Linked DNA regions of Neurospora crassa OR74A. The protein of the gene in region 2 binds, or shares a complex with, the protein of the main gene of each other region. Links are inferred from orthologs where the notes say so. Each region holds a gene or a part of one and is shown on either strand. Other genes may lie near its edges.

Evidence for each region.
Region 1: NCU00635 (region 2) and NCU03148 share a complex: the UniProt entries of both Saccharomyces cerevisiae proteins name them as parts of the nascent polypeptide-associated complex. The link is inferred for Neurospora crassa OR74A from reciprocal best matches to the Saccharomyces cerevisiae genes EGD2 and EGD1.

The regions. Positions count from the first base shown.
Region 1 is NC_026501.1:4,724,912-4,728,687, reverse strand, and holds NCU03148 (nascent polypeptide-associated complex beta subunit), read right to left. Parts: upstream 2,363-3,776; 5' UTR 2,250-2,362; coding exon 2,194-2,249; intron 1,883-2,193; coding exon 1,710-1,882; intron 1,519-1,709; coding exon 1,289-1,518; 3' UTR 817-1,288; downstream 1-816. Other genes in the region: NCU03149 (tRNA-specific adenosine deaminase, variant), read left to right, coding at 1-652; NCU03147 (assembly factor cbp-4), read right to left, coding at 3,174-3,313, 3,514-3,698. UniProt on the Saccharomyces cerevisiae protein: Component of the nascent polypeptide-associated complex (NAC), a dynamic component of the ribosomal exit tunnel, protecting the emerging polypeptides from interaction with other cytoplasmic proteins to ensure appropriate nascent protein targeting.
Region 2 is NC_026501.1:7,743,821-7,747,310, forward strand, and holds NCU00635 (nascent polypeptide-associated complex subunit alpha), read right to left. Parts: upstream 2,109-3,490; 5' UTR 1,941-2,108; intron 1,763-1,940; 5' UTR 1,755-1,762; coding exon 1,515-1,754; intron 1,367-1,514; coding exon 1,308-1,366; intron 1,233-1,307; coding exon 929-1,232; 3' UTR 597-928; downstream 1-596. Other genes in the region: NCU00634 (60S ribosomal protein L14), read right to left, coding at 3,218-3,490. UniProt on the Saccharomyces cerevisiae protein: Component of the nascent polypeptide-associated complex (NAC), a dynamic component of the ribosomal exit tunnel, protecting the emerging polypeptides from interaction with other cytoplasmic proteins to ensure appropriate nascent protein targeting.

The DNA.
Region 1 (3,776 bases), about 3.0 Mb from region 2:
CGCTTTGGTCTCGCCTGCAAACGCATACCTGTCCAGCGTCATCTTTCCCGCGTCTCAGTATTCTGCCGTGGCTTGTAGTCGGTGTTTCTCTTCTTCATCTGCTGATGGGGGGCGGATGGCACCCTTACTTGACACGAGCGTGAGCGCGAAGCTGGAGGCTGCAGGATATGTCTTTCGGGAGTTTAGGGTTGAGACGACGAAGATGGAGTTTGCATTTTCTAGGAGGGCTATACTCCCTCCAAATAATTCCTCCTCTAAAGATATGACGGACATGGCAGACGTCAAGGACACAAAGCCAAAGAAGCTCATAGCTAGCAACCTTGCGACATCATGGACGCTCAACGGCCCGCGCGATGGGGAGGGTTTGGTGGGTGGCGTGTTGCAGGGCCGGAAGCAGTTTGATTTACGGGGAGCGAGTCTGGTCTCTCGGCGGAAGATGTGGACTTTGGCGAGGGAGGTTTGTTCGATGATGGCGCTCAACGACGATGGCGAGATCAAGCGAGTCCTGGGAAGTACGAACCTTGTGTATGATGAGATCAAGGATGGAAGTAGCTTGCTTGAGGGGAGACGGAGGGCAAAGGAGGAGACGAAAAGGGTGGCGTTGAAAGGGTGGGTAAGGAATACTAGGGGTGGAAGCTTTAAACTTGAGTAAATCAAAGGAGTGTTGAGGAACGATTCAGAGAAGGATTGCTGGGAGATATGTGGTCACTATACAAAGCGTGAATGAGTGACATTTCACTTGCGCACTTGAATGCACAGCATGTCTCGTCTCCACATCATCTTTGTCTCGTTGTCATATGGGTCACGATTCCTGATTCGTACTTCTCTCCAATGTTGGTTCGAGAGGCCAAGAAGCTTTTTCCATTTTCCAGCGCTTGGTCAGTTGTTTGGTTTTGGTTATGTACATCGTTTTGATGTAGAATGCGTTGTTCCTATAACCATCATTTCAACCGCAGTCTTTCTCTGGAAGAGTCCAGGAGCAAACCGAGATGGACGAAGACAATTAAACACGTCTTTCCGCCTCGTTGCCACATGTACCAAGTAACATCCTTTCTCTTTGAGCTGGAAGATGACATCAACATTGCCGCCCGAAGAGCATTTCCCAGCTTCACATAGATTCATAAGCCATCATGAGAAGACATTGAACAACTAAAGGACGGGTTGAAGAGACCCCGTGATTTCCCCAACGCAGCACGCCATGATAAATGTCACCGCAAATCTGAAGATAGGAAAGACCGCGTTTTGGGGGAATCAAACAGAGAGAGGGAGTATTTTATTTTTTTGTAATTTACTCGACCTTGCTCTCGAAGTTCTCGCCGGCAACGAGATCGGGGATATCATCCTCCTCAGCGTCCTTCTCGTTCTTCTGCATGTTCTGGTAGCTCTCGGCAAGCTTGCGGAGGGAAGCGAGAGAGTCGGGGCCGAGCTGGTTAAGGATACCGGGGACGAGCTCAGTGAGCTCCTTGTCCTCACCGTTGCCGTAGATGGCGAAAGTGTTGGCAGGGACAGCGGCGTGAACTGTGGTACAAGAAACACAACTTGTTAGCAGACAAGCCCCCAACCAACGTTTGAAGCTTAGCTGTCGCGATATGTCAAGAGGCCGCCTGACTAAGTAGGCCATAACACTCTTGCATACTGGCGATTTTGGACCAAGCCCAGTCAAGGGGGGTCCATATCGCGAAATTGAAACTGGGCGTATTGGTACGTACCCTTAGGGGCGGCGAAGTGGATGACGTTGCCGTCGCTCTTGAACATGTTCACCTCCTCGATGGCCTGGATGGGCTGAACATTGACCTTCTTGAGGGTGGCCTGGAGCTTCTTGTCATCGCCAGCGGAGCGGGCAGGCGCTCTCTTGACCTTTCTGCGGGGAGTACCCTTGCCACTATTTCATTTCGAAAAAAAAGTCCATTGTCAGAAATCAAAAGCCTCTCATTTTGTCTGCATCTGCACGTTGCTCATCGCCTTTCGCTGGGCTCGCGGGGGGAGGTTTTTTGTGTGGGAGACAATCGAGGGCGCGCGCGCGAAAGAATGGAGGGGTAATTCGGTGCTGGCTCGTTTTTTTGTGCGTGTTGTGTGCGAGAGCGATTGACGAGTGATATTTGAATTTCTACATACCCTAAAGCGGAGGGAAAGCACCTTTGTTAGCCTGTCGAACAGAACCTCATCCTACAGAGCGAAAACATGGGCGACGACATACCGATACGGGCCGAGGCGCCCAGCTTCTTCAAACGCTCCTGAACATCCGACATTTTTGCTGGCGGTTTGTTTGGTGATGAGAGGATGTGAGATTGATCTGTTGTGGGGAAAAAGCGAAAGGTGCGGGAGATCTCGGTGAACCTTAGAGCTCAGGGTTAGTTTGGCGCTGGGACCTCATCAAGGACCTGTGGGCGGTAGTGTGGGCTCTGGGCTTTGCGGGCTGGGGGGTTCATGCTGCTGGCTGAGAAGAGGGGTGATGTGTGAGCGTCGCGCGGCGGTGCTGGATGGGCAGTTGGCCCGTGCATACTTAAAATCTTGTCCTTCAAGAAACTTTCCACATACCTACACCCCCGCCGCCATGTTAAGCTTATACGGCATGGTTCGAAACGGTTAGGTAAACAACCCTACTACAGTCACCGGGAGTTACCTTTAATCTATATAGTGTTGATATTGAGCTTCATCCTCATCTGCTTTCGGAAGTTGAGGAATAGGTCTTGTACGCCGGGCCTCGTATGTCCAGCTAGCGGAACCACATCAAAATTCTACCCCACCTGCTTTGGTGCTCACCTTGACTTGTTTCCTGCTTACCGCGAAAGTAAACTCGCCTCACCTTGGGACTTGACATCATCGTCTGTTATGAGGTCCCTCATAGGATGATATCTGCCAACGTAGTTGTACATGGGACAGCTCGCTTCACTACATAGTTTAGGTTGGATGATGGTCCTATACCCTCCATTTCTGAAAAGCGAAGCAGCAAACAGTCTTTCCAGAGAACATCGTGATATTGCACAACTTCGAGACCATGGGACTTTGGAACCAAAAGCTAATCATCTCCGTCCTAAAAACCCAAGACCCTTTTGAACGCCTTCTCTTTCAATACCCATCTTAGAATACACAGTAGTTTTGTACAGAATCATGATGTTACAACCCAAACCGCCTACGTATGACCACTTCCCAACGTAAAGCTAGCCTAACCACTACTTCTCAAGCGGAAGACCGGCCTCACGCCTCATAGCCTCTTTCCTAGCCTTCACCTCATCCGCCAATGCCAGACTCTTCTGCACCGACGCCCGCTGCTGTCTCTCTTTTTCCTCGGCCTCGGCCTGAACCGTCCAGACTAGAAAAGTCAAAGTTAGCACGCTACTCATCTCACTTATCTCCATCTTCATCTTGCTTTGCCCATTCCCATCCCTCTTTCTTCCTATCCACATCCGCAAACAAATCCCCACCTCTATCCATCTCCTCCTCCATCCCAACAAAAACTCCAACAGAATTGCCAACAGACGGACAAAAAGGGACAGAGGGAAGAAAGCTTACTTGGCTTATCAGACTTGGAGTACTCCTTCAACTTGGTGACAAAGTCGTCAAACTCCTGCTGACGCTCGAACCGCCTCTCCAGACTCCTCTTCTGCAGCTCCGGGTTATACTTTTGGAAGAGCTCCTCGTCTGTCGGGGTGAGCCAGTAGGTGAATGCAGGACCGCCGACGCAGATTGCTGCTCCACTGTTTGTTTGGGCCAACAAGAGTTTGTTAGATCTCTCTTCTTCTTGAATTTGGACTTGTGAGATGTAAGAGGAGGTG
Region 2 (3,490 bases):
TGCTTGCACTCGGCAAAGAGTTGAAGCAGGCCTATGCGGGCGATCGCGAAGCCGTCACGTGACTCTACCCCAGTGGGATGATCGGGTCGCGACTCACGGCGAAGATGTTCTTTACAACTTTTGCGCCAAGCCAGAAAATTGAGCATTTGTCAAGTGAATGGAAGCTATAACAGTTCGTCTGGTGGCCCAGTTGAATTTCTCGCTGAACAAACGGCACTGACGCTCTGGAGCTGACGTTTCCGTGCGCATTCAGTGTGTTCATACTCACGGAAGGTACCGGAATGCCCAAGCTCGTCCTAGACAGAATAGTTGAGATCTTCGATATTATACCCTGGTTATACTCTTACTACGCATCCAAGCGTCTTCATTACACCTCGGGTCTTAGGTTCTAGGCAACTCTTGGATAGAAGTATTTGAATGGGACTCTACTTTGAATTGTTGTAATCCCTATCACAGTCTTGCAACGGCCTTATTTTTAGAGGAAGAATCTTGGCGAGCGGTAGCGGACTGGTTTACCTAACCCGTTTGTTGGTCTCATCTATTTTGTCTCGGATGAGGGGAGGTACCGGATGGAATGCCTCAAGTGAAAGCACACCACGTTGCAAACTCTTCACAACAAAATCCGTGAAGTCTCATCAGGAGGAGATCAAATCTGCACATATGAAGATGAAGCTCTTCCAATTTCCCGTGGAGCTTAAACTACGACCGAATGGACCATGATACCTTTTATATCCACGGCTGTCAAGAAGGTAGGGACAGAAGGTGGCCTAATGATATGAATACATGTCGAACTCAACAATTCGCTAAGCCGTCGAGGATGAGAAGCTTCGCAGTCAATGGTACTAAGACACGATAGAAGCCGTATGGCGGCGGGGTTGGTGGGCCAAGAGGTATATTTTAACGTCAATCAAGGGCTCCTAACGACAACTCAGATGCTCAACGCCATGATGGAGTTGACGATATCGTTGTCGTTCTCTTTGAGAGCCTTGATGGCCTTCTTGCGGGAGACGTTGGCCTGGGTCATGACAAGCTCGATGTCCTTGTCCTCAATACCCTCGGCGTCGACCTCCTCACCCTCATCCTCCTCTTCCTCCTCCTTGGCCTTGCCAGCCTCCTCGTGCTCGTGGGTGTGGCCGGCGTGGTCGTGCTCAGCGGACTGGCTGGCGAGCTGCTGGGCAGCGGCGGCCTGGGCAGAGGCGTTGAGGTCCTCAATCTTAGCCTCACCGAAGACGCTGTCCCAAGGGTTAGTCTTTGAACCGGCGAGGTGACCGGAGAGGTACCGCGACGAAGCGGACGGGCAAGCTCACATGTAGGTGTTGCTGTTGGGAGACTTGTAAACCTCAGGGTTGTTAATGACGAAGAGAATCTGGTCGTCTCTGTTAGCTATAGTAGTTCCCCACCAGAAAGGGAGCTCCAAGCTTCCGCCTTGAAACACAAAGCTGTCCAATCGCGGGGCTGTCCACGACGGCAGGAGTGCTGTGCCAGCAGTCGCTCTTCCAATGTTCCCAACTCACGTTCTTGGGGCGGCGGAGGGTGACGCGGGTGATGCCGGGCACGCGCTGGAGGTGCAGCTTCTCAATGGCCTTGCGAGCCTTCTTCTCGTTGCGGGAGTGGATTACGGCCTGGGAGCCAGCGGGAAGGCTGGAGTCGCCAGCCTCGATATCGGACTCGTCATCGCTGGAGTTGTCGAGATCCTCGACCTGGGTCTTCTTAACCTCCTCCTCGGGGAGCTCCTCAACTCTGGGATCGGCCATTTTGATAGCTAGTTGCGGATTGACTGGTCAGCTCTCTAGCCCCGCACACAATCGCACACACACCACCGCTCAAATGCGTCCTGTTTTGCACTCATTCTGAGCTGCAAAAATGGCAATATCGTGCCGGGGCGACGGGCCCGAGCAAAGGACGGGTACCACGAGTGTGCATCTCCTCGTCGCACTCACATTGTTGAGAAAATACCGCTAAGGTTTGATATGCGGGGTTGTGAAGGGGTCGCAAGGCGTGGTGGGAGAGAAAAAGTTCGGGATCCAAAATTCACCAAAAGTGCGTGCACGCCCCCGGCCCCGGTGTGTGATCGCTCGACCGGGCACAGCAGCCACTGCCCAGCTTGCCCAGGAACCTCCTTTGTCCGATACCCCTCGGTAACCCTAATCATCATGCTAGTTCAATTTCTACCCGACCAGACTGTGGAGCCCCATATGCGTATAGAGAGGGTCTTGATGAACAATGTCCACATTTACCCTCAACGACAATGTACTATGTAGTCCAAGTTGTTCACGTAGAGATTGTTCTGGTTGGTTGGTGATTGCGGATTGTAACTGACTTCTGCTTAAGCATTATTTTGTTCTTCAAGGTTGCGCTATGCTAAAAAATGGCCGATGTTGGAGATTTCTGCTCTGGATCTACCGGGCGTAACTCGCCCTCTTGATTTGTCTTGGCAGGGGCCATCACCAGTGAGGTCATCTTCAAGATGTACTCATAGCGTCGTGTGTTGTATAAGTCCGAACTACTCACGATGCCGAACAATCTTCACCAGCAGCTTCACAGAAGTTTCCCAATGGTAAAAAGTTCATAAAGTAATTCGAAACGTCTGTTGTTGACCATGGCAAGCCATGATTACCCTCTAGCAAACTTGACATGGGATCGAGTGCTATTATGTCAAGTCCCATATCTTTATGTGGATGTCAGAACGTCAACATACAGCTTCACGTGCGGATAGCGTGCCACAACCCACAGCCAGCCGAACAGGAACCAACCGTGACCAAGAAGTTGTTGTATCCCTTGTCTGTCCATTCCATCCACCTCTGCTGCCACAAGTCGCCCGTCCCAACCGCGCCAGACGCGTAGTCAAACCATACCATCACTTCACACCAAATCCGAAGTCACCGGGGCGCAATGGTCACAATCTGGTCTTCCCTGTCCGGAGCTCGGATATGTTCATCACAGCTTGCTTTGATTGATTCCAGCTCCTCAGATAAACCCAAGAAATGGTGGTTTTTAGGGGGTATAGACCTTGGGGTCATTTTTGGCTTAATTCGCATTTTCCCTATGACGCCGCAAGCCACCCTGATGATGTGACAAAAGAGGTCTTCCGAATGCGACGCAGAGAGGTATCCCAGCAACCCTGATGCTGATGTTGTTCATGCAGACCGTTTCGAAAAACCCTCCACCCAAGAACCATGCCGACCAAACGCTCCCAAATCTAATCATCCCAAATCAATTAAGCAGAGGCCTTGATCTTGGCGAGAGCCTTGCGCTCCTCGAAGCGGCGCTGCTTCTTGAGGCGCATAACCTTGAAGCGGTCGAAGTCGGTGAGGGCCTTGCGGCGCTCCTGCTGGAGCTGCTTCTTGGCCCAGTTGCTCTCCTTCCACTTGGCATCGATGCCAGCGGCCTCCCAGGCCTTCTTGACGGCACCAGTGCGGGCACCACGGGGAAGCTTCTCGACGACGAGGGGGGTGAGAAGGGTTCTGGAGAGGGAAACGACGCCGCGGGG